Drosophila melanogaster: one gene and its partners. Changing the gene in region 3 together with the main gene of any one other region gives a genetic interaction. Each region holds a gene or a part of one and is shown on either strand. Other genes may lie near its edges.

Region 1 (8,067 bases), on a different chromosome or scaffold from region 3:
TCGGCCAGGGATTTACGACACCCACCGTGAGATATAGGAGGCGGCAACCCGATCGGTGGAGCCCAACCCAATCCAATCCCCACTGCCATCGGCGATAAACGAAACAAATAAAATGATACGTACACATCTCTCGCCAAGTTCGGTAGTCCAGTGGTCGATGGGGAAAAAAAATAAAATTTTTGCATAAATCTTCGCATGCGTTTGTTTGCATACAAACATGGTGACAATAAACGTTATGCCGCCGATGGCCAGACAACAAATGCGAATGAATACTTGCCGTTTATTTTTAGAAGCGAATGCATATTCTTTATCAGCATTAATAGTAAACAAGGGGCTCCATCTCTACTCCTTCCTGCCAGCGATTCTTAATGACTCAACGATGAGTGTGCGTGCGAAAACGGAATGCGAATCGAGTGAAATCGAGTTGAGTCGAGATGGAAATGTTCGAGATTCCGATTCAGATCGGTCGTTTCTGGTCGGTGCTTCCACCTCCGCCACTCGAGTTCCGCGTTATTAAGAAACATTCCAAAACAATAAACTATTCCACAATACGCTACGGCCAATCGAACTCAATATGGAATCATCTACGAGTTCTGAGTTCTGCGGCCCATTTTGTTTATTTAGCATTTCGGTTGTTTGATTCAGGTCCGGTGAAAAAGCGAAACATGTGTGCGGCAGCATTAAGCCCACATAAACTCACATCAGCCCCAAGTAGCTGTATCTGTTGTACAGAGAGAACAATATTTAAGATTTTCTCAAAAACGTTTATCAAGTTGCATAGTTGTAGGGAAAACATGACCGCTAAGCAGAAAAGTATGTTCTTCATATCTTAATAGATATACGACTTTGGTACAGAACCTAAGTTACAACATATCTGAGTGTTATCTTAGGACTTCTACACAAGATCAATAATATTGTAGATGGTTTGTTTGCCCAGTGTAGCTATATATAGCCAATGTATATTCAGCATGTATGCATTCATGTATCTCAAGTGCAATACAAAACCATTGAAAATGCTGAGGCGTTAAGAAAATAGAGCACACACACCAGTTGTTATTTTTATTTTTTAATTGTTATTACGCTGGTCGTTTTGCTTTTGTTCTTCTGGTTGCCGCCAGTAGTTTTTTTTTCGATATTGTAACGAGTTGAACGGGTGGCTTAATTTATTTTAATTGAGCTTGAAAAGTAAATCGAACAAATGGGCGAAAAATCGAAATATATAACAGAGGTAACATGGGTGAATAAATATTGAACGGTTCATAAGCGATTTTTACACTTTTAACTTTCACGCCCTATTTTAGTGTCATTTCACATTACCAAGCAATCAAAAAGTTCCCATCTCACGCTTGCCCAAAAAAACCAATTCAATTAGTCCCGAAATTATGAAGTAATCCTCGCTGCGTAAACATCCCCGGGACATCAATCTCGTATTCGAAAGTTGTATGGCCAGCGATCAGTGGAAGACCTTTGCACTCGTCTCGCCCCAAAGCAAAGCAAAGAATTAATGAATACAGCTCAATTAATAAAACGGCGAACGAAAAGTATGCAAAACCATGAAAAAAAAAACTATCCAACAGATACAAGTGGAAAATGCAGTCACTTGTCTGGCAATCGAAACGTGCCCCAAAATGGGCAACACAAGCTGCTGCCCACCAGTGTTTCCACCAGTGACCGAGTTACAAATCAGTTTGCTCAATGAATTGCCGCTCCAGCCGAGCCGAATGTGCACGCGGATCACTTAACAAATTCCGGGTAATACTTTTTGGATAATTGCTATAAATAGCTTATAAATATATAGTAAATCGAGGTCTAAGCAACATTCCAAACATGTGGATTATTATCATTGGATTGTACGGATACAAATATACAAACAATGAAGTATAAAGACATTACTGATATCAGCTTGCCTAGAAATAGGTACATATATCATGAGTTGAGTTTTGAGGAGGAAATCGAATTGCAGATAAGATGGTGAAATTGGAACACTCTCATACTTATTTTCCTTCGAGTGTTTTAACATGTAGTAAAGATCTTATCAGGAGAAAATGAAAGTGTTGAAATATTTATTATGAACGACAATGGGTCAGTAGAAAACAGAATTCCAGAAGAACAAAGTAACATGCATTCTCCAAATAAGAAACTCATATTTTAATGTTTTGATAATGATATTTAGATCTTTGAGCATTAATATTTGTGAAGTGTACTAATATCTTGGCGGATGCTGAGCGTCCCCACGTCTACGTCCGAAATATTTGGTAGATGTGGAGCCGATGCACTGCCCACACAGTGGAGCATGGAGTGAAAATGAGCTCCGATCTCGATTTCTTTATGTTTCCGAAGCGTGTTTATGTGGCGGGCATTCCAAAACCGAAGCCCACTGCTAATAAGGTCGAAACGCTCGAAAAAGTGAGAGAGACTGAAAATAACAACAGCTTTAAACGAGCGCATTGACATTTCGAGATAATGGATAAATAATATACAAAATACGCCCACAAAATGGAGCGACGGCGAAATTTGCCAAACAATCGGACAAAAAATGTGTAGAAAACAGGACAAAAGCCAGAGAAATTATGACAAAACATCGAAAGACGCGAGATATTTAAATCGGTGAAGAGAAGAGCGAGGAAAGAGCGTAACAAAAAAAAACAATAAATCTACGTACAGATACCAAACAAATCTTAGCGTACGTTGTATCTTAAAGATAAATCGCATTTGTGGAGGAGGGGAGTGGGAGGCCAGCCGCCAGCTGCTAGGCAAGCAAGAAATATAGAATGAAATATCTATATGTTTGTGTACACAGAGAATAATATAGTATTTTTTTGATAAACAGTAATATAAATAATGCAGTACTTCTTGATTACATAATCAAATACTATACATTGTTGTTGAATGGAACCCTTTGCTCAGGTTTATATCCATATACAAATACAAAAAAAAGCATCATCGTGAAAAGCGAATTATGCTAATCTGACTAGTCCTAAGATTTCGCTAGCACGTCATAAGATATAGCCTAGTGATCTATTATAATCCAAATTTTTTCTCTGTGGACCAGCGTAGTCAGGGGCAGACATCAAACGGCAGACGTCGACGCTGGCGCCGGCAGCGCGATGAGGTAATTTTCAGCTTGTTTTCTAAAACGCTCGACATCCGAAATGGGGAAAAGGGTTTTCCGATGGGTTTTTGGCGCGCATCGCGCAGGCGCAACGTGCATTTGGCGTTTGAACTTAGTTACACAATGGAACTGCCTTTTTGTGGCACATATTCCACTCGGAATGGATAAAAATAACACCATATGTCACACACTTATGACCGCGCACTCTCGTCATGTATATACCTTCTTTAATTCCCACAATTGGGCTGGAAACTCTTTTGATATTTGAACTTGAACGATATGCACGATATGCGATATTCATATATGTACGAATCGCCTATACATATATATGGGTAGATATATGTATATATATATATATTTCAATAGCGATATCGGGCGCGGCACAATCGAACGAATTGGCACCGACGACGGACGAAACTCGAATGAGCGGGCCATAGAAGCGAGTGGTTCGCTCGGTTCCATGGGCAGTGTGAGCAGCATGAGCAACAGATGGGAGAGCCGCGAAGAGAGCCACCTGCTGCTAGGCTTCTCTCCTCTCTGATTCTTCCGATTCTCCTGATCGCCGTCTGCAAATGTAAACAAAACAAAAGGTGCCAGCCAGAGGGAGGGCGGTGAAATGAAGGGGCAGCGGAGGAGAAGGTAGTGGCCACAAGGTGATGGACCCGTGCCAGTGGTGACTAATCTTTTGTTGCCCAACTTATGGCTCTTTCTTTCTTCTCAAAAGTGAGCAGAGAGGAAGCGAGAAATTGGAAGAGGAAGTGCGCTTAGTCACATGGGGTTTTCTAAGAAATGGACATTACTCCTGCTTTTCAAGGGCTAAGCTAGTCAAGCGATTGGAGCGTTGTAAGTATTAGTATTTTGAAATGTTTTGGTAATGACGTTTTGTTTTGATGATGTTATATGACCCAAACATTTCTTATCTATAATATCAATGACTCTTTGACGGACTAGATTATTCCCCAAAAGGAATGCTTCTAAACAATCAACAATATTAACGTAATCTTTATGGGTTCAAATCTCTATAGATACTATAATCTAAACAGGACCAGTCTCTTTTTAGGAAAGTATCTGCATTTAAAACTCTTACACAAACAGAATACATGAGAAATTTCAATCTCAGTTGAAATAATTGAATACAACAGTTTCCAAAAACGTGCATAAACAAAGGAGGCAAAATAATAGCCTGTTGACTTCAATTAGGTCCAATTATTGACGCAATTGAGGGCCTGATCCCGGGAAGAGTGAATCTCTATGCCACTGACAGCGGGATGTAGGCACGAGTCTTGTGGGTCCTCGTCTCGGATCTTTGAGGGTTGCAGTTGCACAGCTAACTCCACAATTAACTTGAGAATTGAAGGCAATTGCCAACTCCCGCGAATCCGGCGCTTCTTCTTCTTCTTCTTCAGCAACCGGGGGTTATCTTATCGCGTATGGAATGTACCCCATATACATATACACCATGCTATTCTGCACGCTCATCCAGCTGCTCAGATAAAGCCGTCAAACCAAACCAACTGCTGTGCTGATAATGCGAGGCAGTCGCAGTTGGACTCTCGTTAATTGAATTATATTCGCAGCTTTGGCTAAAAAAAAAATGTTGCACTTTAATTAGCATAAAACGTAGACGATGCTTACAAGCAAACAAACGAACAAACATACAAATGCGGGCGTTCCCTTTTTTTGCCCCCTTTTGTTGTTACACTGGAAACTTGGTTAAAAGGGCGGAATTCGCGTGACCGACAAAAACAAATGTGCGGGACATGTGGGAGAGACCAAAATCCGGACAGTCGGCGCCAACAACTGGGGGTAGGGATAACGATGATGACTCCACCCCGGAGGAGCACCCACTAGGCGGCAACAACAAAATGTGCGAACGAATCGAAATGAGTTCTTGTTGGCCAGGCCGCAGCTGAATCTCCACTGGCTTTGTTTGACGCGTTTTCATGCCGCGGGAAAGGGGCTTTAAACTGATTTGTGCACTTGGGGTTTTAAACATTGGTTAACTTACAGAAACACACGGCGAAAAGGGCTTAAAGAGAGCTAAAATCGAGTAAATAAAACTAACACTTTACAAAATATTCCGTAGTTAAGACAGTGTGACCGTGCGTCAAGCAGCTATCGATAAGTCATTGCGGCTATCGGAACCAATTAGCGTTTGGGTCACATAATTACAAAATAAATAAAAAATATATAAATTTACAAGTTCTAATCATAGTTTGCCTATACTTCTATAATATTTGAAATTACTACGGCAAGCAAAAAGTAGTCTGCACACAGAGCTGTTATGCCAATGGCAGACTGTTAAGTGCAGGGTCACCCCAAATGTAAAGGCATGAGCGCCAAATTTAAAATAAAACCCCCAACTAATGCAGTCTAACTAAAACAAGGCTTAAAGATTAAGCGATTTGTAGTCGAATCCTATAAAAACAACATATCCACATGATTAATGAAGGTTACAAGCCCCACCAAAGCGCACCCCCACACAAACTTGATAAATTTGTCTGGCTTTCCTGAATTTTCTCCGAGACGATCATCGTTTCCGTTTTGATTTCGGCGATTGGAGGGCAACCAAGTGTGCAACTTACAACCCTCAGAAAATAGACGAGCAATCTAAGGGCCGAAAAACAAAAACTAGCCAAAATCATAAAAATAAGCAAGCGAATTCATGACTTCGCCAAAGTCAACGGACCGCACATAGCGCGCGTCTTTGGGGGCCCTTTCACTGGGGTTGCTTTCCCTATAAGGCAGCGAAATAAAAATAAATTTAATGTTCCTGTTTTTTTCCCTTCTCCTTTCTCGACTTGTCAAGGATATCATATGCGCGAATACATGGGTATATGTGTACGCGTAATTTATGCTGCAAAACATCTCGAGCATAAACAGGAAACAAGCGTCCACGGTCCTTCTTTCGCAACACTCTTAAAAAATGAGAAGTAATTAAAGACAAGTTGCAAAATTATCAAAGGGGGGGATAAACATTCCTTTTGCTACTATCAAACTTGAATTTAATTATTGGAAATTTCAAGAGAAACATTTTAAAGCGAACTTTCAGAAAACCTTCATACATAAAACACTATATTCTTCATATAAAAATTTCTCTCTGTGCACAATGCCCGCCCCTGCGCGCTTGAGAAATTTCTTGAAACGAAGTCAAGTTCGTGGCTTGGGCGCAAATTCAATTAATTTCAATCGAACGCCTGTCGTTCTGGGCATCCGGCATTGGGCATTGGGCATTGAGCATTGATGTCCCGCGATTCGAGGCCTGCCAAACCGATACGCAGATAGAAGATGCAGGATGTGCAGATATGGACTCACCCCTCGGGCCGATAAATCTCGGAACTGGCACACTCGCTTTACACACACGCCCGTTATGACTGCTGGCCAAGGAGGAGCAAGCGAAATGGATGAGCAGAACGCATCGACATGTGTCCTGGTGCTCCTGCTGCGTCATTGCTTTAGTTCCGGTTGAGTTTGTGCCAGCGCTCGCCAAGATTTATGTCACTTTGTTGGCCCAACAAAGAGGCCAGGGAGTTTGGTTTTCGGTAATGGCAAATAAAAACCCGATTCGCAAATCCTTTCCTCGAGTGACCCACTTGGGATTTGGGACTTGGGACTGACCAGCAGCGAGGAGCAACGCTAATTGAGCGATCTTCCGGCTGGCTAATGGGTTAAACCGGCCAAGCCGAATGCCCATATATCATGTGCTTGGGCCGTGATAATTTCGGCATTTTATCAACCAAAATTTAGAGGGTTCTTGACTCTGCCGGAGATTTATGGCCATCTAATTGAGTTTGTAGTTTTCCGAATGCATTTCTGGTTTCTAGTTGCGGATGAATCTGAGCTCTTTGGAGACGAATAAATTGGTTGAAATATAATAAGTTTTTTTCATATTTTAAGTACAACAAAAACTAGAAAAACTTGAAAAACGTAGAAATTTATGATGACAAGAAGTTTGAGTGTTTTCAAAAGAACTAATTGCTTGAAATTTGTAATTGCTTCTCTGTTTTTAGAAACTAGTACCAGACACTTACAAAATGTTTAGAAATTATTGCTAAACAAAAAACGGAAATAAATTCATATCCATTTCTTAATACCCATTAATTTAGAAATAAATGTATTATTTAGTGTAGATTCCGCTTACAATTGTTGGGAAATTCGTTTCGAAACCTTTAAATTCGATTTGCTTCACAATTATAAAGTGAACCGTCCTTTCTCCCCAATTTGTTTAGCATTCTGGAAAGGCGTAAACTCGTTTTCATATTGCCCGACAAATTCCCCACAAATTCGAAGCACTCGAAGGACATTTGCATGCGGGCAGCTATGAAAAACTTATATTGAGAACAATAAAAATTTATGAAAAGCCATTAGGGCGAGGCTGGAAAAACAAGCAAACGACTACAAATTGACGGCAGCCGTACGACCCAAACCCCTTTTGGATGAATTCGAGATCGGGATTGAAGCTGAATGGAAGGGGAGTTTTTGGCCACAAATTATTTTTATAGCTGAGAACGATCCCAGGCACGAGTATGGCGAGTTATGCGCCGGAGAATCCTATAAGCAATCCGAGACTAAGCTCGTGGAAGTGCCCGGATGGACGTCTCGGTCGTAAAAAGATGGAACAAGCCCAAAGGAGTGCACAGGAAGAAATCATTGAGACTTTAGAAAGAGTTTAGTATAAGAACTTATGGTAGTTATGTTAAAACTGATGCAAGCATCTTTCACTGATCTATGAAATGTAATCTGTTTGAATCTTAGATACTTTAAGACTTTGGAAGACCTTGGCAATCCATTATAGCTATTTGTGTTTCTTTTAGAGAATTCATTTCTCTGAGTGCAGTCAAATGTGAAACTGGAGTGTTGTGCCGTGTCATTGTCATTGCCTTTGTCACTGGCGTCTGGGGGCATGGACATGGAAGAGAGCGAATTTTAATTGATGACGATTTCATTAAAATTTC
Region 2 (8,267 bases), on a different chromosome or scaffold from region 3:
GCGACCGCTCCGTCCAGATGGAGAGTCATTTGTTAGAAGCCGATTGTTGCCTGTTTTCCCCGTATGTGGCAGAGGCCACAGCCTGTTGCATGTGGCCAAAAGGCGAGCCGACGTGGAGCCTCTTGGCCCGGCTTTCTGGGTCTTATCTGGGCACAATCTGCCGACGAGGCTGCGGCCTAAGCTTCCGTGCTGCAAGCTGGCCCCGAAACAAACAATTCCCAAGCCCAATCCCCAATCCCCAATCCCAATCCCAGGCCTCGTGATTTCAATTTAACACCTTTTGGCGGCATTTTGCGCCCGGCTGCCCTTTTAGCCATGGCCAATTGTTGGGAACTTGTCGATGGCTTCTTGTTCGATGGCCGTGCATTATGCAGAAGCCAGAAGCGAAAGCTGCGAATCCATCGATGATGCGGCCCACGCAATTAGGCTGGCCAGCAAATGAGATCACTTCTGGACATTAGCTCACTTTTCACTCTCGTCGCCTTTTTTGGCCTTTTGACCACCGCCACCCACGCCAAAAGAGCCCCGGCTCTCGGCCAGATCGAAATGACCAAAATTGGCCAGTGGAAAGCATGCCAGCAGGTTGGCGCGACAACTCTCTGGGCCAAGTTCATTGGCCGCAATTTGTTGGTTGGCTGCTAGGGATTCGAATTGGGATTGGGATGGCGGATTGCAGATTGCCTCTGCGCTTTTTGCTGCTACCGCTGGTAGCGCCAAGTCAAAATCCCATTGTCTGCCTGTCAACTGTCCGCCGGCTGGACATCGATGAGGGACCGCATCAAAGTCACCAAAACGATATTTTTTTGGAACGCATATTATGGAAGCGGCCTTTTGTCCCGGGCGTGCGCCTGTCATAAGCTCGGCCCCGAGAATCCACGTCCCAGGGGTCAAATGTTTTGGATACCCTCACCGATAAGGAAACACCATTTCGGGATCAACTGAGATTGGGTAAAGAGGAACAGTTTAACAGGTTTGGGTTGCTCACTTCCTCTAATTCAAGAATCATAAGTTACTTTGCGACTTAATAATGAAAGTAAATAAACTTCAGTAAATAAATTAAACTTATTAAACATTTAGTTTATACTTGACATTTTATTGCCATTCTAGCGTACAACAAGCTAAACGTTTTCCCAAATCTCCCCTTTTAAATTTAAGTGCTCCAACGTCTTTGTTTTTGGTCTGCTTGGGTCAAATATTTCATAAGATTTTGTGTCTTGGGCAAAGATCGTGCTGAGATCGTGATTTAGCGCCGCGATGTTGATGCTTTTTGTCTGATTTTGATCGGGGCTTGGTTCAGCTAGTGGCCAGGGAAGTCTATTTCAGAAATGTGAAAAATTTCATATACGGCCCCCAGATCGATGGAAAGCAGCAGGAGCTAATGCAGTGGCATTATGTAAGTTTGCGTGTGAAAATTGGTCATTTGAAAATGCCAAGGCAACGTTGCCAGTTGCAGCGACTTGTGGGCCACCATCCACAAGGAGCACGCATCAATTGTTTCGGGGGAGGAGTGCTCCGTGGGCAGGAGCCTCCTTTGAATGCAATTGCGGCGGCAAATTAACATTTTATGAAGCCGAAAACAAAGGCAACGCGGAATCGTGGGCTACCGCGCTTACACAACGCCGCCAAAGCGGCCAACAGTTGGCCAAACAGACGCGATCTGGCCAAAAGCAGAGGATCTGCGGCTACTGTTCTAGAGATGAGCAGAGGTACTTCGCGGGCACAGTGGTTCGGGTTTTTGAGTCTTAAATCAAATTGTTTAGCATTAGGTTTGGGATCCCAACATAAGGTGGCCTATAAGCAATTTCCAAGCAGAATTTGTATTGGTCCAATAAACATACTTCCAAGTGGAACTAATAATTGGTAATGGACACAAGAGAAAGATTTGAATATTTGAACTGACGAGTAATGTACACAAATGGTCTAACTGTTGGATATATCCATTGGGTACTTGATATTCCGAGATGGTTCTCCTATTGTGCGCCAGCTATCCCGACCACTGTGCCGATGGCCAATTGACAATAAATCCTCGCTCTTTCCGGAGGCAGAACAATGCCAGAGATGTGGGGGAACTGCTGGATTCCGTCGCAACTGAATCCCTGAAGCATTTATTAATTGCACATGCGCTGGAAACGTGGCCCGATGTCAACATCCCAATTGCAGCGCCAATCGTGGCTGGAATGGGGATTGGGATGGGGATCGATTTCGGTTTCGGGGTTGGGTTGAAAATATCGTTGGGGATGGGGATGGCGTAGGGGTGCTCCAGCGATCTTACCTTCTTCATTATGCCCGTCTTGCGCTTGGAGAAGGTCGTGTAGCGACGCAGCTTATTGTCGATGTATTCCATTTTGATTTTGACACGTCCCTTTGTCTTTTTGCCGTTGGCAGGCGGAGACTTCTTGTTGGGCAGCGGGTTGTAGTTGTCTACGCTGTCGTCGACGGCTCCGCTGGCCACGTTGTCCAGTCCTTGGAGGGTGAGTCCGCCGGACGAGCGGTGGTGATCCTCGTAGCAGTCGCTGCCGGAGCGCTTAAGGCCGCGTTGCTGCTGGGGATGCTGCTGCTGCTGTTGTTGCTGCTGCTGGTGTTGCTGCTGCTGCTGTTGTTGCTGCTGCTGCTGCTGGGAGGCGTGCTGTGGGCTGTGGAGCGTTTGGCACTGCGGGGCAGGGGGTGCTCCTGCCGCGGGATTGGGGCGCTGCATCGGCGGAACGCCGCCCATGTTCTGGAGCAGGCCACCGGAGGGCGGGCGGCCCGCCCCCAGGGCCGGGTTGCCGTACATGTCCGCCGGATCCGCCAGGCTCAGCCCTATGCTACTCATCGAGTAGTTGAGATTGTACCGCGAGTCACCTCGCGTCGGATCCATTCTGAGGTAAAAGTTCTCCACCGTGGAGCCGTAGAGATCCAAGGCACCGCGCGCGTCTATTATTGCGTTTGGGTTTCGGGTGCTGGGAATCTGAATATCTAGAATCCGGCCGCGGCACACTTTTCAGATCAGATCGCTTTATATTCCAAAAATAAAACCACACAGAAAACACTCAACGCGCGCGTTTCGCTGGCGTTTTCGGCCTTTTTGGCGGCGGCGGGCGCGTTTCTGGGGCGGTTTTTGTGCCCGTCTGCCTGGGGGCCAAGTTCTCAGTCGAGGAAAACGCTATAACTTATTAAAAACCCGGGTTTTTTTTGGCCAAGAACGCGAATTTAAGTTTCTTAAGTGCACGCACACACTTACGCGCGCACACACACAGGAAAACTGACAGCTGACAGTCCTGCAGTGTTGGAATGCGGCTGAAGTCCAGGGATGCAGCGCTCGTGTGTTGCGCAGTGTGGTCGTTTGGCGCGGAATTTGAATTTTGGTTTGTGTTTAATATTTAGGTTCTGGACCGCTTTTATGGCTTGTTTCCAATGGCTTTAAGTTTCTTTATGGCTTTTAATTTCATTTAATTGTATGTTATTTTTTGGTTGCAGTTCTTTTAGTATATTTTATTTAACTGGTGTTAAGAGTTTTTATCTTTGTTTGCCTTCTAAAACTTGTGATTTAATATTTAATGTTTACTATATGTGTTGTTTGTTGAACTGGTTTTAGATGATTTACCAAATCCTTTCTCGCGTTTTATAATTGTTGTGGTTTATTGGGATGTTTGCTATTTTCTAAAAGTTTTCGAAGGTTTATCATTGAAGACGTTCCTTCTCATCGCTGGCTGATGGTGCTTTATTCCTTTGATTATGGCCTCTATAAGTTGTTATCTCCTTAAGTCTTCCGCTTGCTGTCTGCTTGTCTCGAACTGATTGCATTAATATCCGTTTTTTGTAAAAATTGTTTAAGTGTTTCTGGTAAAAAAAATACGCCTAACTTTGTTTCGACTTCGTAGATTTAGTGCAGTTATGGGAAATATTTGTGTTTTTGTTTGTTCCGTATGCGTTGCAGTTGGTTTGCTTATTTGTCGCTAGGCACTTGTTTGGACTGTTTACTTTATTTGTGGCGATTTTATTGTGGTTCATTCCAAATACGAATTCGAAACGATTCGACGGGCTAAACTTGCGATCGATAGCTGGCGTTCGTTGTTCTTCAGATGGCGTGCAAATACCTAATAAACTTCAGCGTATTTCCACCAACGATGTTCGCTCGATATTCCAAACTTGGGCGAACCGGTTTCCTCTTTTCCTAAGAGCGCCGCGCTCTCTTCGATTTCGAACGCGAAGAGTACGGAGTACATAAAAACAAACCCCAATCCCCCATTCCCCGACCCAATCCCCACCCCCGTTCGGCGTCTTCCTGCTGCCGTCGTTCATTTTGCTGGCTTTATGGCTTAATTAATTAGATGGCCACGCCCCCATATGCATACCCATTCGCTGCGCATGCGCACACATAGATCGTGGATTTGGGATTCATATGGCTGGGTGGCTCATTGGCTCCTCCCCTTGAAAACTCGTGGTTGAGTTCGGTAATTACATACGTGGCGTTTCGCCTTATCAGCGCTGTTAATTTAGTTAATTTGTGATCTTCTGATTTTGTGATTTTCTGATTTTCTTATTGCTGATTTTGTAATTTCTTTTGCGACATTTCGCAGGCTGAGCTTTGCGGGCATCTTGAGTGCCCGGGCGCAGCAACAAAAAGCGATACACTTAAACTATGCCAGGAATTTCTTAGCCCCGCCAATATGGTCAGAATGCTCTAGAGGATTTGCGTGGTGGGCCCACTTGTACACAGGAGCACGAGTATTTCGCCATGTCCTTAAATAGAGGTTCGCGGAATGGGCAAAGGGGCGGAGTGGGCATGGCCACGTGCAGCGACTAGCAGATAGCAGCAGATATGTATATAGTAAGCGCAGATAAATCGATACACTCACTGCGCCCCGATCCGCGATCGAAGATGATGCATTCCCCAGCTGCAAATGGTCATCGTTGCCTTTTCCAGCCATCGGTGTCGTTGTCGCCAGCTTGTCTCTTCCGCGAATAAGCCAGTCCAGGTCCCGTGTCCAGCTCCACGACTCCGACTCCGAGGTCGACTCCGATCAAGCACCAGGACCAGGACCACAGCCAACTGCAGCTCCGCTCCTCTCGCATTTAATTAGATGGAATATAGGAGCTCGATGGTTTGTCTACCTGCCCGGGCTGCCTAATGATTTAAATTAATCATAATGACTGTCAAAATAGAACGTTTGCCGCTGCCAGCGGATCATATAAGGATCGATCCACGCAGCGGGCACCAGGTCTTCTGGACACTACGGGAAAACGGATGCCACTTGGGTCACTTGAATCTGAATGATGCCTTCCACTTGTATTCCCATTTCCCCAAGACTGCGAAAAGAAAGAACAATAAATAAAGATGAAGTTTGATGATCCCCACGCATTCCTAATAATTCCGTATTTTATATGGATTAGGTTTACAGATGGGTCATATGACATATGCATCTCTAGCTCTGTGACACTTTTTTATTGTGTAATTTGGTTTTAGTTGTTTGCTAAGTATTTCTCCGAGTGCATTTCGATGCAGCTTCTGGTCCTGCTGACATTTCATCATACTCACACGGCCTGCTGGCTGTTGGCTTCTTGGCTTGTTGACTTGTTGGCCTGCAAGCCTGGTCTGAGGTTCTCACAATTGTAGACGCGTTCTGTGCAGCGCTTACTAATTGGTTAGTTGGCTGCAGGCTGGGCTCTTCAGCGTCTGCAGCCATCCAGGCCCTCTTTCTCCGCCGTTTTCTCCTCCACCGGCAGTAGGAGTCCGCTGGCTCCAGTGCGGCTGTCTTTCTAGGCAATCGTCAGCCTGTCTGGAGGAGAACTCTTGGCTTCTCTTGGAGGCTTCTGGCCAGCTGGGAACAACTGCAACATGCTGTAGTTTTTGCCATCGCACTTTCCGCGGAATTCTCCCCAGCTGAACATTTCTAATACTTAATTATTTGCTTGCCGTTTTACGTGCATTTATTTGAGAGGGGACGAGGGGAATTAGGGGGCTGCTCCTGATGCTGCTGCTCAGAGTCCGCATTATGTAATCCTGCAGAGTTCACCTTCAAAACGGTGGACAGATCATCTAGGCATACGGATGGCATAGGTATATTCCCAAATATATTTATAACTCGAGAGGAGCGTTTGTTCCATTTACGATTCCGAACAACTTTTGATTTTGCAGCTAGCCATAGCCATAGCCACATATGTGTATATTTATATATATAGACTTTTTTACTATTTATAGCGCTACTTGGGCATTTGCCTTAAGCCAAAGCCAAAGTGTTTTAAATAGTCGAAATATGTAAATTTCCTTTTTTTTTGTCTTTTTCAGTATGGTCATGCGGGAAAGTATCTGCGAAATATTGTGTTAGGATTTCAAGTAAAGCACGAGATTCGGATGGCAAGTCATTGGTACGACTGGTGATAGTAGAATTGGATGCAATTAAGATAGCAAAAAAAAAACGAAAACAGTACAAGCGACTCCCCAGGTATTATTCAAAATAGAATATCTATTATCTGCGCAGCAAGCTGGTTGATTTACACACTCAAACCACCGAGCACACACACTCCTTATACAGATGGGCCCGAGATCGGCCAATCGGAATATATCTGATTGAATGCAAGAACGTGGCACATGAGCACATGACTGCGGTGTATGATCGCCGGAAAGCGAGTGGCCAAGAAACTCAGGTGTCTAATTGGGCGCTGGGGTGACAATGAACCACTTAACCAAGCCAGGTCCAACTGCAACTCCTGCTCCTGCTCCAGCGCACTAAGCCAAAAGCCTGAGATTGACAAAGCCGGCAGAGAAAACCGCCAACGCCAGCTCAAAAGTCGAACCAATTGGCAATTGGTACAGGCGATCGCAATGTTTTTGCCTCATGAATAACGCATAAGGAGCAGGGAGTAGGGATTGGATTGGGTTGAGAATCGGGATCGGGATCGGAATCGAAATCAGGATCGAGCTCTGCGAGACTTCGGGGCAATTGTCTGGTCGCTTGTGTTACAATTTAAATAAAATTGCGGCTCCCTGGGCGAAAACAAAAGGAAAAGCTGGGGGTTTTGGCCTTACGATTTCGCTTCTCAGTTCTCTGTTCTCAGTTCTCAGTTCTGGGCATTGGTTTTCTTTTGGGCCGAAGTGCAAGTACCGTTTGTGCACAGGAAACAAAAGCACCGCTACAATCATAAAACGATTAACAGGTCGTGACCGTTTCACCTGATTACCGGTAGTCCGGCTCATTTGCATGCAGGTGGTGCCGCGTCTTTTCACGGTGACAAGTGCAGGAAGTTCGGAACCGCCTGCCCTTCCCTTAACTTCCCCTCCTCCCGAGCACGCGGTTCTAACTTCCTCGCCTTCCGCGCATTTTAATTCACCCAATATTAATTATGAAAATCAGAAGGCAGGCGCAGATGGGTCGGTGCGTGCCTCGCATGGAAGTGGGCTCCTCGAGGCACTTTTGGCCAAGTCGAGCCCAAAGCCCAGAACTCAGAGTCCAGAGGCCAAAGGCACTGGAGCTCGGGGCCTCTACAAATTAGAACAGAATTATCCCACGCATCTCGGATAATGTACGCGAAATACTTGATCGATTGCCAGCGATCTATGGTCGCTTGTACTCGGTCTCCAACTGACAACAACGGCGGACAAGGAGACGGGAGACGGGAGATGGAGGTGGAGGCGGAGGATCGACGCAGACGGTCCACTGGCTGAGGCCATCAGAACGGAAAGCAGCGGACTGCAGACTGCAGACTGCAAACTGCCAACTGCCAACGGTGGAGCACAGCAGCTTGGGATCTGCGGATCGTCGATGGCACAACAAATTTCAGCGCGTAGAACGGTAACTTATTTTTTCCTCCCTGCTAGCTAGGGGGTATGTGGGGTAGTTTGGACTGGAGCACCACACTACAATATGAAACATCAATTATTACTAAAAGTTAGAGGAAATCGCCTTTACCAAAATATCTAGCAAGTGATTCAAGTGACTCGTCCAGCATTCTGGATGAGTTTGGAGTTGGGATTCTGCAACAACTAGCGAAGATCATTGAACTAAAAGGTAGCCACCATTCGATCTGCCCATCTGACTGCGAGCCACTTATTGTCAAGCTGCGCAGCAACCGAAGGGGGATTGGGGGGATCGGGATTCGATCCAGCCGAGGGAGTTGGAGGAGGAGGCTCACACAGCGATGTCTCCAGTTTGGCTGTGATAAAATGTGCGTAAGTGATCAGTTGGAAGAAGACGACTCGGGATGGGGATGGGGATCGGGAACTCGGACTGAGATTCAGACTGCCAGTGCGACTTGGGGTTAAAATTCCTGGACTCGGCGATGCTTGG
Region 3 (8,076 bases):
GAAATTTGAATTTCCTTTTTCTCAGGCGTATCTGACTGCTTGTCTATATAGAATATTATTATACTCGTCTTCAGACCAATTCTTGATTGTAGTTTCTGAGACGGGGGACTAACAAGCATATATTTGTTAAATGCATCGACGCAAGGAATTTTCACCGTAGTGAGTTGGAGAATTAAACAGAATCATTCAAAAAGACTGGGAAAAGGAATACGCAGAATTTTCTGCAAATAAACAACGGGGTTACTGCAAACTTTTCCCAGGCACATTAAAAAAAATCTTAGCTATAACGTATGTGACAATTATATTTTGAATAAATGAATAATAATGTGACCAATGTAACGTTTTCGATAACGTATCGTACATCTTATTCAGTTGTTGCAGTACAACACTGCTAGGCAGCAATTTCCAGCCCTGGAAAAATACCAAAAAATCTACCATCTCTCCAAAAACGAAATCATAAACGCTTACCAGGGACATCATCGATTTTCTACACCAAATTAAAAGAAACCTATAAGTTATAGATTTGCTACACCAAATTGAAATAAAATCAATCTCTTCAACCTTAAGTCCTTGGCTATTTCCACGTACACGAGTGTGGCCAAATAATTCCACGACATTTGCGGATGTCGCGGTAACCTAAAACACAAAAAAAAAAGAGATTGCAATATTTCGGAGATAAAAACCCTCAAAAATGCCGCCTGGAACGCAAATTGCCAGCGACAGCGATATGGAGACCGCTCTGGAGGAGTTCAAGCAGCGCCAGGGACGCCGCAACAGCATCGGCTCGGCCAAGTACGCGTGCAGCATGCCCAAATGCGAGGCCACATTCAAGCGGCTGGACCAATTGGATCGCCATGAGTATCATCACACAGGGATTGTGAGTATAGTTAGAGTATGTTAAGTGTAAGCCAGTAGTAACGCCGCCACCACTTTGCAGAAGAAGCACGCCTGCTCGTACGAGGGTTGCGACAAGACGTACTCGATTGTGACGCACTTAAAGAGGCATCTGCGCAGCACCCACGAGCGTCCGGAGTCGGCGGCCAAGAAGACGGTGAAGTGCGCGCTGGAGGAGTGCAGCAAGATGTTCATCTCGGTTAGCAACATGACCCGCCACATGCGCGAAACCCACGAGAGCCCAAAGGTCTATCCGTGCAGCCAGTGCAGTGCCAAATTCTCGCAAAAGCTCAAGCTGAAGCGCCACGAGATCAGGGAGCACACGCTGGAGTATCCGTACAGCTGCTCGAAGTGCTCGCGCGGCTTCTACCAGCAGTGGCAGTGCCAGAGTCACGAGCCCAGCTGCAAGCTGTACGAGTGTCCCGGCTGCCCGCTGCAGTTCGACAAATGGACGTTGTATACGAAGCATTGTCGCGACTCGTTGCACGGCAAGAATCGCCATAAGTGCGACCGCTGCGATAGTGCCTTCGACAAGCCGAGCGAACTGAAGCGTCACCTCGAGGTGAAGCACAAGGAGGCGGCGCAGACGGATGAGTGCGCCACCTCCTTCACCTGCAACGAGGAGGGATGCGGCAAGAGTTACTCGTACCTCAGGAATCTACGCCAGCACATGCTCACCGCCCACTCGGGCAGGCGTTTCGAGTGCCAGGCCTTGGACTGCGGCCGCTGTTTCAGCAGTGCGCAGAATCTGGCGAGACATCTGCTCAGGGATCACAAAGATGGTGCGACGAAAAAGGAATTGAAAGCCAAGAAGAAGGACAAGAGTAAGACTGGAGAAGGGGGCAAAACTAAGTCCACATCCCGCAAGCGACGACGCGATGCTGGACGCAGCAAACATTCGAGGCTATCCAAACTGGCCTGCCTGCAATTGGACAAGGAAGATGATGAGGCGGTGCGCGAGCGACAGCCTTTGGTCCTCGAAAAGATCACCCAGTCGCTGAAGGATGACCCCGTCGAGGAGCTGCTGGCACAGACCCTGCAGGATGAAGAGGAAAAGGAGCAGGAGTAGAGCAAAAGGCCATTCAAAGGGACGGGAGTGAGAAGGTCTGGTCAAGAGGCTAACAATTGAATGACTACTTTAATTTAAACCACAACTTCTAAAAGAGAAACAACTAATTTATCAGTAAATACTTAGGATTTGCGTTCAGAAACATCCGAAATTGCATTAATTTGCATAAATTAGTAAGCTATTATTAGTAGTATTCGCCTGGAGCGAATTAGTTTATTTACTTTAAGCTTACAGTTGCAAACATTCCCTGACTTCAACTAGAGTTCCGAAACTCTCGGGCATCCAGAGAGAAAACCAATAATATCCATTGTGTATATACGCGCAAAACTAAATAAAATAAACTCCTCTAAGTAAAAATAAGAACAATATGAACCTCTGACATAGTTCTTTTGTCTGTTTCTATTTTATTAAACAATCTTCTAAAACCAAAAAAAATGCTTAATGCGCGTGGACGCGATGGCGATGGAGGACTGCAGGAGTGCGGATCGATTGCATACGAGTGCCAATTCAGGTGGCTACAGCGAGTTGATGATCTTCCGGCTTCGCATCTGCTCCATCCAGCTCTCGTACTGCTGCTCCGGCGTCTGCGGCTCCTGGTAGTAGTGCTGCGGCGGCTCGCCCTCCTCCAGGCGCACGAAGTAGTGGCAGTGCTTGTACTCCACTTTGCCGAAGCGACCGCGAGCATGCCGCCTCACGCCCTTGAAGACGCGTCCCTTGCCCACGAAGGATTCGGCTGGTAGGTAAGAACAGACAAAGATTCATCAATATAATGGTTAGTGATGAAGAAACTAATGATAATCCATCATTCATAGTGGATACATAGATTCCTTGTGCCCCTGCGGCTCACCTATCCACAGATTGCTCTTGTACTCCACGTTATGCCGCTCCACGGCTATTTGCTGGGCCTCCAGTATGGTCTCCTTCACATCGGTGGCCCCCTTTTTGAGCACAAAGTTCAGCTGCTTCAGCGCCTCGTCGACGGACATTCCGCGAACAAAGGCAGCGATGTACCACATCTTGTCCGGACTGTATTTGATGTTGCTGCGCATGTGGCAGACATACTGTGCAATGCAAGTGGATTAGAGGATTGCAGCTGGAGGGGTAACAGCAGTGCGTTCGAAATATGTATCTTACAGCATTTCTGGGCTCCTCGTCCGTTTCCTGCGGCGGATGCACGGTCTTGTTGTACTCCAGCCATTTGCGGGGTCCGTAGTTGTACTTGTTCCACTTGGCGCACAGCATTCCGGCGGAAGCGGCCGTGTGCAGGGATTTCGACTGGAGGGCAGGTGGTGAAACTGGTGATATGGCTGGTGATATTGAGCTGCTATCCGCCGATCGGAGGAGCGCTGCTCCCTGTGGCGCCTGCAGGCGCAGCTGGGACATTTGCCGGATCACCTTGTGCATCTTAGCTTGCTTGAGTTATCACAGCAAATCCAGGCAATTCAATCCGGAAGGGAAAACGCAGACTTTCCGTAAAAAAAATAATCGCGTAATCTGCCAGTGTGACCAATGGCAGCAGGTATGCCGTGGACCTAAAACGTACCGCACAAGCGGCTGATCTGCGAGCGGTATGGCAGCGTTTGATTAGGATATGTAAACATCTGGCAGCGCTATCGATATTGCTTGAAAATATATTTATTTATTAGATTTAAAAAAAAACTTGTAAAAGCAAGTTGGTACGACATAAAATTATTAACTTAAATAAGAGCATATCAGCAATTCACATTTAGAAGCCATTAAAATAATGCATTGAAACGGAAACATTTATCTCCACACAAATTAGCAATTAATACACATTTTCATAAAAATATGAAACCTAACAATTAAAGTACCCATTTGGAATTGACCATCTTTAAAGTATATTAAAATTGAAAGACATAAATATTCCTTATGCACTATGTAACTATTCTAGTTCAATATTATACACTTAAGTTGATCGTTCTCAACAGCGCGTCGCGCTCACTTTTGAATCGCCCAACGATCTGGCATCCCTGCGTGAAATTTGAAATTGTATCTGAGGAATTGCTAGCCATCTGAGTGCTGCATTCGGTGGCGTGAAGCGAAAGTTGCCTGGTGTAAAGTGCGGAGCGCTCGCGTTCGAAACGGAAATTCAACGGGCGCCAGTTTTGATTCAAATTCGCGTATGCAAATGCAATCGATGGTAATTGAACGGCGAAACATTTATATTTGCGTGTTATCTGATACATATATCCAGCCATCGAAAATGTTTACCGGAGTTTCGAGGGCTCATTGTTTGTTTTCATTAATTTGCATTGCCAGTTTGCTCTGCCTCGGTTAGCCGGCGAATTTGCTCGTATAGTCGAATTGCACTACATTCCGAGATCTCGTGATTGCGAATCTAAACCATCTGGATAAATGGGAAAACCCATTTTCACTGCAGCGTTCTCATTTTCGAGGCAGAATTAATTTGCACCAACGCACATGCGAAAATGTTGCATATCGTGCAATTAAAACTTATAGATTTCAAAGCTCATTTAGTTAAAACTTTGAAAAAAGTGTATTTACCTTTTTCGAATTTTAAAAAATATATACATTTTTTTAATTTCCGAATGGATATAAGCTTGTGTATATGAACATAAAAATCATAAATTTATATGTGATTCCATTTTCGAAATAAACGTTCTTCCATATGTACATATGGCCCAACAAAATGACACATCAAATGGTCGAAACTTTTGCTAACGGAAATTACAGACTTCCCACACGAAACTCACCTTTGAAATTTTTTTCGAGTGGGATGCTCGCTACATACATGTGTAGATAATGAAAAAATAAAACTTTTGCTATCGTTTTGGTTGTTTGAGAGCTTTGCGTTTGTTCCGAGATCGCTCTCCCGAGTCTAAAAACTAGAGACTACATTGGTTGGGTATTGAGTAGGCGATCTGGCACGAGCAGTTCACCCATGTATCTCTGGCGGTGCTAAGATGTATCTTACAGATACTGTGCGCCATTAGTCGTCGTTTAAATCTTGCTGCGTTCGCTGCCGAGGTAGAGCAAACACCAAATGTCAAATAGCAAATCAAAATATAAATAATACAAACAATACCAATTGAAAGTGAACTTTACTTATTAACAGCACAACACGCGACGCGCCAACAAATTGCTTGAAACATTTTTTTCCAGTGTTGCAGCACCAGTGAAAAGTGCACCGACCAAATAAATTCCCAAAATATACGCATATTAAACAAAATCTGACAAAAAAACACAAACACAAAAGCCAAAATCAATAAACTAATGTCGCAGCTGTGTTTGCACCTCCGACATTTTGTGCAGTGTAGAATTCGATCTGTATATGCACGTCTATATATACATGTGCATATATACCTAGATATAGGCGGACTCTGCTGGGCGTAGCACACAGCTTCCAACTTTTTAGATTTATTTTTAGACAATGATCGTTTTTTCCACTATTTTGATGTGTTTTTTTTTCGTATTCATATCTTAACCATCTGGGCAAGATTGTATGGCAATTCCAGTAGTGACTGTTGCCAAATATATTCAATTGATGTGCAAAAAAAAGAAGAGAAGTGTTCAAAAAGGGTCTCAAACCTTTTACTTCAAAACTGAAGGTTATTTCGTTAATTAGTAGTTACAAGTTCAAATGATGATCAAATAAATGGGAAACGAAGAAATATTTTTAGAAACTTTCGCCAGCTTTTGCATTTAAATGCAAATTGCACGCTTAGGAAGTTATTTATGCAAATTTAGCAACTTTCAGTTAACAATTGTGTTCGCCTGGCAACGCATTTCAATTTTTAGCCTGCAATTTGTGGGCCACGAAATTAACTGTCTTATTTATATTGACACATTCGCCAGTCATTTTGAATGCCAGCCGCATGATCAATTTGTTGAATGTTAAATGGTGTACACCATATGGCGCGTTCTACAGCGAATTTTTAGGTTGTTTTTTTTTCCTCTCTCTCGCTTAATTATAATTCATTTTCTTGTCTATGAATGGCAGCCGCCCATCAATGAACTCGAATCGCCCACACTCGGCGGAAAAACTGGGCATAAAAAGTGGAAAATGTGTCAAATGTCACCTGCACAAAACCGCCTACAACTTGTGGGATTCTTTTCCGCCACAGAAACCTACGTACACTGCAAAAAATATCCAGCTCAAATACTTACTTAAGGTCTTGATTTCTTCAAGTACTTGCAACTGAAATAATATTTTGAATCGTTCGATACCAATTGCATTTTCAACTTTTCCTTGAAAGTTATCTTCAATTTAAACTAAAGTTGTGTGGGAAGGGCTGGCTGGCTGGCTTTCAATCTGGCTAAAAGTCTAATGGCTTTTTGGCCGTTATTTTGTTATTTTGGCCAACCTGTTTGACGGCCCATTACGTCACCATCACCATCATCGCGATGCTGAGCGTAGAACGCGCCAAAATCTAAGCATGCAGCAAAAAGAAAAAAATCCAAAAGCAAACATGAAACCGTCAAAAATGTCTAAAAACAACAAATCAGATTTTAGAATTAGACAACAATATATGAACGACCCGACTGATACCCTAGCATTTTGCTGCAGTGAAAAGGAGATGATTGAAATCATTTAAACAAAAAAAAAATAAAATAAAATAAATAATAAAAAGAAGTGAGAACCTAAAGTGATTTGTTAAAAAATTAACAAGAAACCGTTTTAATGAAAACAAAAGCTACTAAATATAAAAATATAATATAAACAACCTTACATGCAAAGAAATATAATTAAAACCTAATAATATAATAATAATCGATAAAAATAAGTTCAAATTATCGGATGACATGCATTTTATTGATTTTTTGGCATTGACAGTTTAATAGTAACGAATAATTTGAAAAGAAACTGAACCGTGTAATAAAGATACTCGTAATTGGCCCGACATCCGACTTCAGACATTAGATATCCGACCAGCCCTAACCACCCCGCCCACTCCGCGATTCCCAAGGCCAACAGATCTTGATTATGATGTTAAGCGAGAGAGAGAGAGAGAGCGGGCGAGTGGGTGCGAATGAGAGAGGAAGATCGCAGACGTTGAGATAGAGATATGTGGAGATACTAAAAAACAGAGACACTCAGCATTTGCCGAGTTGAAGAATATAGTTTTTGTTTTTGGCTTTCGTGTTTTATGCTCTTTTTTTTTTTTTTTGGTTTTCGGTTTTCGTTTTTGGAATCTCAACTCATGTTGGCCAAGGTTGAGTTTATATAATAAATAAAGCCGCGCGTGTGTGTGCGTCTCTTTTGACCATATGTTATAATAATTCTCGATTCCGATCGCCAGCTGTGAAGATGCAAGCGTAAAGTGCTAAGTTCTTGGATGCAAGCCCAACGAAATCGATATACAAATTCGAGAGAAAGTAGAAATACAGCAAAAAGTAAAGTAATCAGCTCAGCGAATAAAGAAGTTAGAAAGTCGACAAAATGAGTGGAGATTCCATCCACCGAAGAAGAATGGCTCTTCACTGCCCCATAACGAGCCTGATTCTGCTCCTGATCGCCATGTCCGCCCATGGTTACAACATCGACCTGCCCAGCTACGTCCGTTTCCGGCAGTCCAGCAACTCGATGTTCGGATTCAGCATTGCGATGCACAAGGGTCGCAGTGGATTCTACGGCAATCAGAATAAGTAAGTTTAACTAATTGTTAGCCAAGCATAGATCTAGATAAATATATTTTCATATAACTAAGTTGAGAAGTTAGCGTTTCATTTCGATTCCAAGGCAACAAGCTGAATTGAAATAAAATTGTAAATAATTGGAAAATTTTCAGAATTTTCAGCCTACTTGGATTACTTATATTCATTACAACTTCCGAATAGGGTCATTTATTTTGCTTTATCTTCGAGCGACCCTCTTGACATTTCTTTTCAATAAATTATCTTCGTTGGAAGAAATGTGCTTTAAAATGAAACTCATTAAAGATAAGTAAATCATATGGGATTAAAGCACGCTTTCCAGTTAATGCAGTCTGTATAGTCGTTTTATCTGAATTGCTGAATTTCTGAATTCACGCCGCTATCGGTTACTCTTTCCATTTCACTTATTTGTACTACGATCTAAAAGATGCTGGTGTTCATCCATCATATAATATCATGTAAAAATACCAGATAAG
Region 4 (7,212 bases), on a different chromosome or scaffold from region 3:
CATGACGCCAAAGATAATTAAAAGGGAAATGGAAATGCATAAAAGTGATTACAACACAGCGACAACAACTCTAGCACTACCAAATGCGGTCGTTATGTCGGGAAAGAGTTGGACACCCAACTCCAAGCTGATCCAAGCCGATTCAGCAGCTGTGAGTCTCGGAGCCACTAAAACCAACTGGCAAAATCAACATGTAAATTTCAATTTTCACGTACGTCAATGTTTTTCCTATGAATTTCGTACGTGAACGAGTAAACAAACGACCAGGGTCTGAGAGATAAATCTGTGATAAAACTCCCATTCCATTCCACCCTTTGAACCGCTGGCCCGAGCATCGGACCACTTGCCGAAATTCGGCTGAAAAAACCTTAAGTCAGTCATCGAAAATCCGGTTCGGTTTGCCTGCTTTGGGTCTACGCTGGGCCGCGACTTGGCCAAACCCGCCGCCTGCTCCCTGCCTGCTAAAGCTCTGGATGCCAGAGAGCTGACCATTGCGCTCAGTGTACGAGCCGCTAAAGCTCCTGGTATAAAAGCGAGGCCAGCGAGCTAACAGCTCGCAATTTGAGTTGCGCCTTTGATCGTACCACAACTGCACCCGGGCCACCGAAAATCACCGGAAGAGAAGTGAGTAAGCCATTGTTCAAGCCGTGGTTCGTTTGCCCTGGTTAGGCCGAGCACCCGAGGAATTGAGGTGCAGCACCCATCAAGGATTGCGAAAACCAAACAGCTGGCCACGGGCTAGCATGGATTCGGATATTGGACGCAAATAAGTCGAAAGCTGCTAAAACTACGTGGTGTCGGTGAAATTGTGAAATCTTTTCAAAAATATTAAATCCAAACGATTGCCAATTAGTATGCATATGCGATATATATGCCAAGGGCCATAAATAATGCATGAGCTGGTGGGCAGACCACTAACCGCTTTGGATGATTCTTTGACATGCGTCGAAAACACAGAAAAGCCGAGACTGCCTGACGCCTTCTTATTATCCGCTTACCCGGCAACCAAAAATCCCTCATTTTAGGAAATGTGTTTCGTGGCTTACCTTTAATAATTTGAATTTCCCACCTGCCTTTCCAGATAATCCTCCAAGATGAAAGCCTCGCTAGCTCTAGTGTTCTGTGTTTGTGTCGGTCTTGCGGCAGCTGCTCCTGAAAAAACCTACACCAACAAGTACGACAGTGTCAACGTGGATGAAGTTCTGGGCAACAACCGAGTGTTGGGTAATTATCTCAAGTGCCTGATGGACAAGGGCCCATGCACAGCAGAGGGTCGTGAACTTAAGCGCCTTTTACCCGACGCCCTTCATTCCGACTGCTCAAAGTGCACGGAAGTCCAACGCAAAAACTCACAAAAGGTAATCAACTACCTTCGCGCCAACAAAGCCGGCGAATGGAAGCTCCTCCTGAACAAGTACGATCCCCAAGGCATCTACAGAGCAAAGCACGAGGGACACTGAGCGCTTTGCTTGTCCACCAAATGCACTAATTTCACATGAACCTAATTTAAACCAGAGATCCACAGTAAAGATTTTAGTTTTTTATACCTAAATGCGGAAAACGAAACTTTTATTCCAACGAAGGCGGTGGCTTACGCCAATATATGCTATGAGTCGGCGAACAGCGCGGATGATGGTAGCCATGGGCCGATGTTATATGGTCTCGTTAATAAGGTCGATGGCCCTAAACTGGTTGGCCACATTTACGGTCCAGTCCGATTGGTGTCCAGCGGTGAACTCCTTTACAAAACGGTAGTTGCAGATGAAAACCTTATCCTGGTACTCGGGAAGGGTCCTGCAACAAATGGGTATGAGGAGCTCAGCTTTCGGGCAGTGACAGTCCAAACTTACCCCATGTTCCAGGGTATTTCCTCGCCGCGTTCCCGCATCTCGGATAGACCACGCATTACGTGAAACACCATGGTGATCTCTACGAAACGCTTCTGCAGCTTGTCGTTTGCATCGTCAAACATAATACCTACCTGATAGGGAAAGCTGAGGTATATGTCGCTCTCCTTGATTTCTAGCTGCCTCCGTTGCGTCATTGACAGTTTTTGGATTACCGGTCTAAGCTCTGCGATCGCCTCGGGCGAGACAAGATTGTCCAGGGAGTCTAAGTCGCCGCCCATCAGTTTTGAGGATACTACCTATGAGGGAATTAATATCATTACACTTCATGATAGACAAACCATGACGCACCTGCAGCGCTTGCTTGGCGCCGTATATGAAGTCCTTGAGTTGAAACTCGCTGTCGAAGTAGGGTCGAATTATGAACTGTATGGTGATCCAATTTTTTAACGAGTTAAGCGCCGATGGCCACACGATCTCTGGAAAGTCCATTAGGCGAGGCAGGCGGTTAAGGCTCTCTCTGGCATTCTGCTCCTTCTTGTCTTGCTCCTGCGGCAGCGAGGCGAAAGACCGACTGACCGGTTGTGTTGGCTTCGAGATGGACCCAGCTTCCTGTCCCCCGGAGGCTGCCACTGTGGGTCTGGGCTGCAAACGCATCAGGGATATCCGGGCCATGCCCAAGCAGCGTATAAGCGTGTGCTGCATTGCAGAAATTGCACTCTGAACAGCTGCAACTGGGCTAAAAAGTTGTTTTTGTTTTTCTTAGCCAATTTAGTGTGACCGCAAGTAGATAAATAAAATATACCAAGCTTCGTTACTTAATTGCTCTAACTTAATTCGAACAATATAAATATGGCCGGATCTTGCACATCCAAGCTGCTGGAAACCGCACAAAGTAGTTGTTATTAAATATTTTTTTTAAATAAATCTTGCCACTCCGCTTAAACTAGTACATCCCCGAGGCGTTGCCAGACCCCCGAGTACGTTATCGATGTATCGATAGCACCCTTCAGAAAATGGTGCTGACTTCCGGCTGTCAAATTTTTCTTTCTTTCCTAGCCACGACGAGGTCGACAGCATGAGGTAGATTTGAGTTCGCAAATATGAGCGAAAAGTTGCGCTCGCGGGGTCTAAATGTTTGCAAAGTGTGCCGGGCGAGCGCGTGCCGTATGATGCAGCTGCCGGGCGGACAAGTGCCATTCTGTTTCCCGGCAGTTGTGAAATAACCGAACATGCGACGCTCATGCACACACACACACAAGCTGATAGGCGCATCCCAGCACGCTACTTTCGAAATGATGGACTAACAAGTTACCCTCCTTTGCAGTTCTCTAAAGCTCCAGAAGAGGCTCGCAGCCTCCGTGCTGCGATGCGGCAAGAAGAAGGTCTGGTTGGATCCCAATGAAATCAACGAGATCGCTAACACAAACTCGCGTGAGTAGAAATGGTCTAAATGGTCGAATAGACAGCCCAGCTAACTGTGTTGTTAACCCATTCCAGGTCAGAACATTCGCAAGCTTATCAAGGATGGTCTGATCATCAAGAAGCCCGTCGTGGTCCACTCCCGTTACCGTGTGCGCAAAAACACCGAGGCCCGCCGCAAGGGACGTCACTGCGGATTCGGAAAGCGTAAGGGTACTGCGAACGCCCGCATGCCTACCAAGCTGCTGTGGATGCAGCGCCAGCGCGTTCTGCGCCGCCTGTTGAAGAAGTACCGCGACAGCAAGAAGATTGACAGGCACCTGTACCACGACCTGTACATGAAGTGCAAGGGTAACGTATTCAAGAACAAGCGCGTCCTCATGGAGTACATCCACAAGAAGAAGGCTGAGAAGCAGCGCAGCAAGATGCTGGCTGATCAGGCCGAGGCTCGCCGACAGAAGGTGCGTGAGGCCCGCAAGCGCCGCGAGGAGCGTATTGCCACCAAGAAGCAGGAGCTCATCGCCCTGCATGCTAAGGAGGACGAGATCGCTGCCAAGGCCGCCACCGCGGGTCACTAAGCAGTCCGACCTCGCTAGTCGAGGAACTCCATATTGATAGTACTGTTTATCGTCTGAATAAAACACCTTTAGTTTGGCCGAAATGATTTTGTACAAACGTGAAACTCATGCTTATTTTTTTAATGGCTTTCCCTGGGAGCAGTCGTAAGGGAATTTGGTTGAATGTGACTTGTTAATTCTTATTCCCTTATGTTGCATTTCATTGTGAATTCAGATTAAAGACGGTGATTAAATTCAAAATATTCACTTCCCTCGTTTTAATATCCTCAATACCCCACAACTTCAAATGCTTAAAAAACTTTAATATATTGGTTCTTGCGACTAGCTTTTTGTGAGAAGTATTTTGGCATTTAATTCGTTAATTATGCCAGGTAATGGATTCATTTTACAAGCAGCGTCAATTATTACTCAGAAGTTTAATTGTTGTATTATCCTAATATATTTTACTTTAAGGTTACCCATATTCCAAGCTTAACTGAAAATAAGCTGGCCCTAACTATGTAGGATAACAAGACGTCCCCAAAGCTCTAGAATTCTATATGCATTTGTATTCTTGAATTTAAATCCTATGTATAATTTAAATAAAAAGTCAAATAAATGTATAGTAATAAATAACTGATGAAAAAAGTAAAAAAGGTCATGAAAAACCGCTAATCTTTGATGTAAATGCCAAATGTCCCCTCCTTCAATATGTATATGTATGTAGGTAGTGAATAAATAGCGGTAAAAGAGCGATGAACCGTGATTTGTTTTGCCTATAATAATGCGATTAAACAGCGGTGGCTATAGCGGTGTTTTTGTGATGTTTTTCTTAGGGATAATTTCCTGGGACATGCTAATGCTAAAATCATCGTTTTTTATACAAAATGCGATCGGTACTTTTACTGAGCGCTTATTTACTACCGAAAAACTGGGCAATGCATCTTAATGCTGTGTTAAGTCGGAAACTTAAAATAGGCAACCGTATTTAATATACTAGTTTAATTAGTTCGTTTATACCTAAAGTAAAAATTAATTTATTTTTTAGTATTTAATCGATTGTATAAAAGATATTTACTACCGAAAAACTGGGCAATGCATCTTAATGCTGTGTTAAGTCGGAAACTTAAAATAGGCAACCGTATTTAATATACTAGTTTAATTAGTTCGTTTATACCTAAAGTAAAAATTAATTTATTTTTTAGTATTTAATCGATTGTAAAAAAGATTCCAGTGTCTCCAGTGTTCGCTAATCAGCAAACCTTATCTTTAATTGTGATTACCTTCATTGGGATTATTCACTCATCAAATAATATTGTAGAAAAAATGAAGGAGTCTAGAAATCTTGAAAACTTTGTGGAAAAAAAGCTCTATGAATGCAAAAAGAAGTATGTTGACATTCCAAAGGACGAGGGACAACGATATGGTAAGCACTATGAAGCACTGACATCTAAAATCTTTGAAATACTGAGAAAGGAGAATCCAGAGCTGGACATCATTATTGCTGAGTTCAGTTTGGAAGGTAAGTCATTCACGGGGCTCAACTTCACATAACTCCATCCAATTTCCGATATATGTATATTATCGGAACCATAATGATAAAAAAAAAGTCCGGTCGTATTCGTGTATCCGCGCTTCGTACTCGTTTCCATCGCGATCCCTCCGCGCCGCGTTTCTCAGTCATTACTTACCGCGCAGCTTAAATTCCGCAGGCAGTGTCGGGGATATGTTAAAGATCGCGAAGCCCAACGAATTCGATTTGGTATTTAAGTTAAAATTTCCGTACTACAAAAGCATCGCCGTGACGCGAGATCCGAAAATTCCGGGCAACGTACTACTCGATATGACGCGCGTGTTAGAGCTCCTTAAGGATGATCCCCGCGAGGATTTCCAGAGAATTCGGGAACTGATTCAGGGTCGACTCGTGGATGCGCAAAACTTTTTCGTCGTGGACAGGCTTCGTTCTTGGCTTCAGAGCTTGTTTAGCCAGGCACTCAACAGGATATCATATCGCGTGGAGCTGGTTGCCGGCGTAGTGTCCCATCTCAAATATAGAACCTGTGGGCCGGCCCACACTATCTACGTGTACGGTGATTATGAGTACTCTGTCGACTACGTACCTGCAATCTGTTTGGCGGCCGAACAGAACGTCTTGCCCACGAAGCAATTGGAGTGCTTTAAACGCGCCAACACTTCTTACTGGGAGGCGATTCCCAAGCCTCTGAAACCCCTAACTGAAACCAGCATGATCTCCTTTCGTTCCTCGTTTTACGCCGTAGAGAAAATATTGCTGCAGGATGTGCACGAGAATTGCCGGAATGCAATTAGGTTTATGAAAAAATTTCGCGATGTGAAGACCAACTTGGGCAATTGCAAAAGTTATTACATTAAAACTTTATTTCTTTGGAAAATTATACAGGAACCAGAGTCCTACTGGCTGAATCCGCTCTCATTCATTTTAGCCGATGTAAGCATGAAGTGACTTCAGTATGTCGACGAATGCAAAAATAATTTTAATTTAAATTTAACAGATGTTCGACGACTTGGCGGAGAACTTAAGGCGGGGAGTTATTACCTTTTTTTGGGACCCCGAGCTGAACATGATCGACGCATTGACCCGGGATCAAGTTTGGGAAATGTACCTGTGCGTGCAAAGGATTCCAAGAGACCTGAGGGGCGCAGAGATCAGCCGGAATAAATGGAGTTTTTTCGTACTTCGGGAATTCAGTAAGCTTTTATAGAAAATGTACTTCCAACTGTCTTTAACGCCTCTTTGTTTTTTAGGTCACAAAAAGGAAAGAAATGTAAATCTAAAGTGCAGCTCTAGGCGAAAACGAAATGTTATTAAGGGACTGAAGACCACTTCAATTTGCAAGCTAAGAAATGCTCGAACTAACGGTACCTGGACTGCTGGACTTTGGACTCGACCCGGCCATGCGTACAGAGGCCCATCGGAAACGGTGTCGACTTGGGACACAGTAAAGGACGCAGCGTGGTCAGAAGGGATTGTGGAGTAAGTGGATAGTGTCCTGCGACACGAGCGGTCCTAACAGACGTGCGCTTCCGGGTGGTTGCAAAGGTGGTTCTGGGAAGAGCATTGATTCGCAATAATGGAAGTTCTCTAATCTCAGTGCAATTTACATATGTACTCTCCAGCAATTGTTGAATGCACTTTAGTAGTAATAAGAGGAAAATTAAATGGCACGCTCTATTTTTTGCCCAAGTTATGTTACAACAATCTATATTGATAATTTGGTGCAAAACTAAAAAAAAATAAAACAATGTTGAATATTTTGCCACTTATCCTAATTTATTTTTAAATTTAAGCATTTTCGAATTAGCTAATTAATTAACGGCGTTGGCCGGTGCTGCCACATTGAACATGA

Evidence for each region.
Region 1: of if (region 3) and rhea, changing one suppresses a phenotype caused by changing the other (phenotypic suppression), as found in Drosophila melanogaster (one study listed by BioGRID).
Region 2: of if (region 3) and bs, changing one enhances a phenotype caused by changing the other (phenotypic enhancement), as found in Drosophila melanogaster (2 studies listed by BioGRID).
Region 4: of if (region 3) and RpL19, changing one enhances a phenotype caused by changing the other (phenotypic enhancement), as found in Drosophila melanogaster (one study listed by BioGRID).

What each region holds. Positions count from the first base shown.
Region 1 is NT_037436.4:8,542,143-8,550,209, reverse strand, and holds the start of rhea (rhea), read right to left. Parts: upstream 5,210-8,067; 5' UTR 5,121-5,209; intron 3,536-5,120; exon of another isoform or gene 3,335-3,535; intron 1-3,334.
Region 2 is NT_033778.4:24,338,680-24,346,946, reverse strand, and holds the start of bs (blistered), read right to left. Parts: upstream 4,087-8,267; 5' UTR 2,858-4,086; coding exon 2,273-2,857; intron 1-2,272. UniProt on the Drosophila melanogaster protein: Required for the formation of intervein tissue of the wing. Acts in a dosage-dependent manner to suppress wing vein formation and promote development of intervein cells. Might play a role in the proper formation and maintenance of the trachea.
Region 3 is NC_004354.4:16,779,366-16,787,441, reverse strand, and holds the start of if (inflated), read left to right. Parts: upstream 1-4,007; 5' UTR 4,008-4,124; intron 4,125-4,896; exon of another isoform or gene 4,897-4,972; intron 4,973-6,367; exon of another isoform or gene 6,368-6,578; intron 6,579-7,245; 5' UTR 7,246-7,385; coding exon 7,386-7,591; intron 7,592-8,076. Other genes in the region: CG9609 (uncharacterized protein), read left to right, coding at 692-877, 938-1,963; mRpL22 (mitochondrial ribosomal protein L22), read right to left, coding at 2,479-2,696, 2,811-3,024, 3,098-3,367. UniProt on the Drosophila melanogaster protein: Alpha-PS2/beta-PS is a receptor for Tig, wb and Ten-m. Involved in the function and/or development of the olfactory system.
Region 4 is NT_033778.4:24,965,187-24,972,398, reverse strand, and holds RpL19 (ribosomal protein L19), read left to right. Parts: upstream 1-2,851; 5' UTR 2,852-2,925; coding exon 2,926-2,930; intron 2,931-3,174; coding exon 3,175-3,281; intron 3,282-3,347; coding exon 3,348-3,847; 3' UTR 3,848-4,522; downstream 4,523-7,212. Other genes in the region: Phk-3 (pherokine 3), read left to right, coding at 1,095-1,460; CG3776 (uncharacterized protein), read right to left, coding at 1,653-1,794, 1,851-2,146, 2,199-2,552; cGlr2 (cGAS-like receptor 2), read left to right, coding at 5,153-5,348, 5,539-6,293, 6,358-6,553, 6,611-6,843.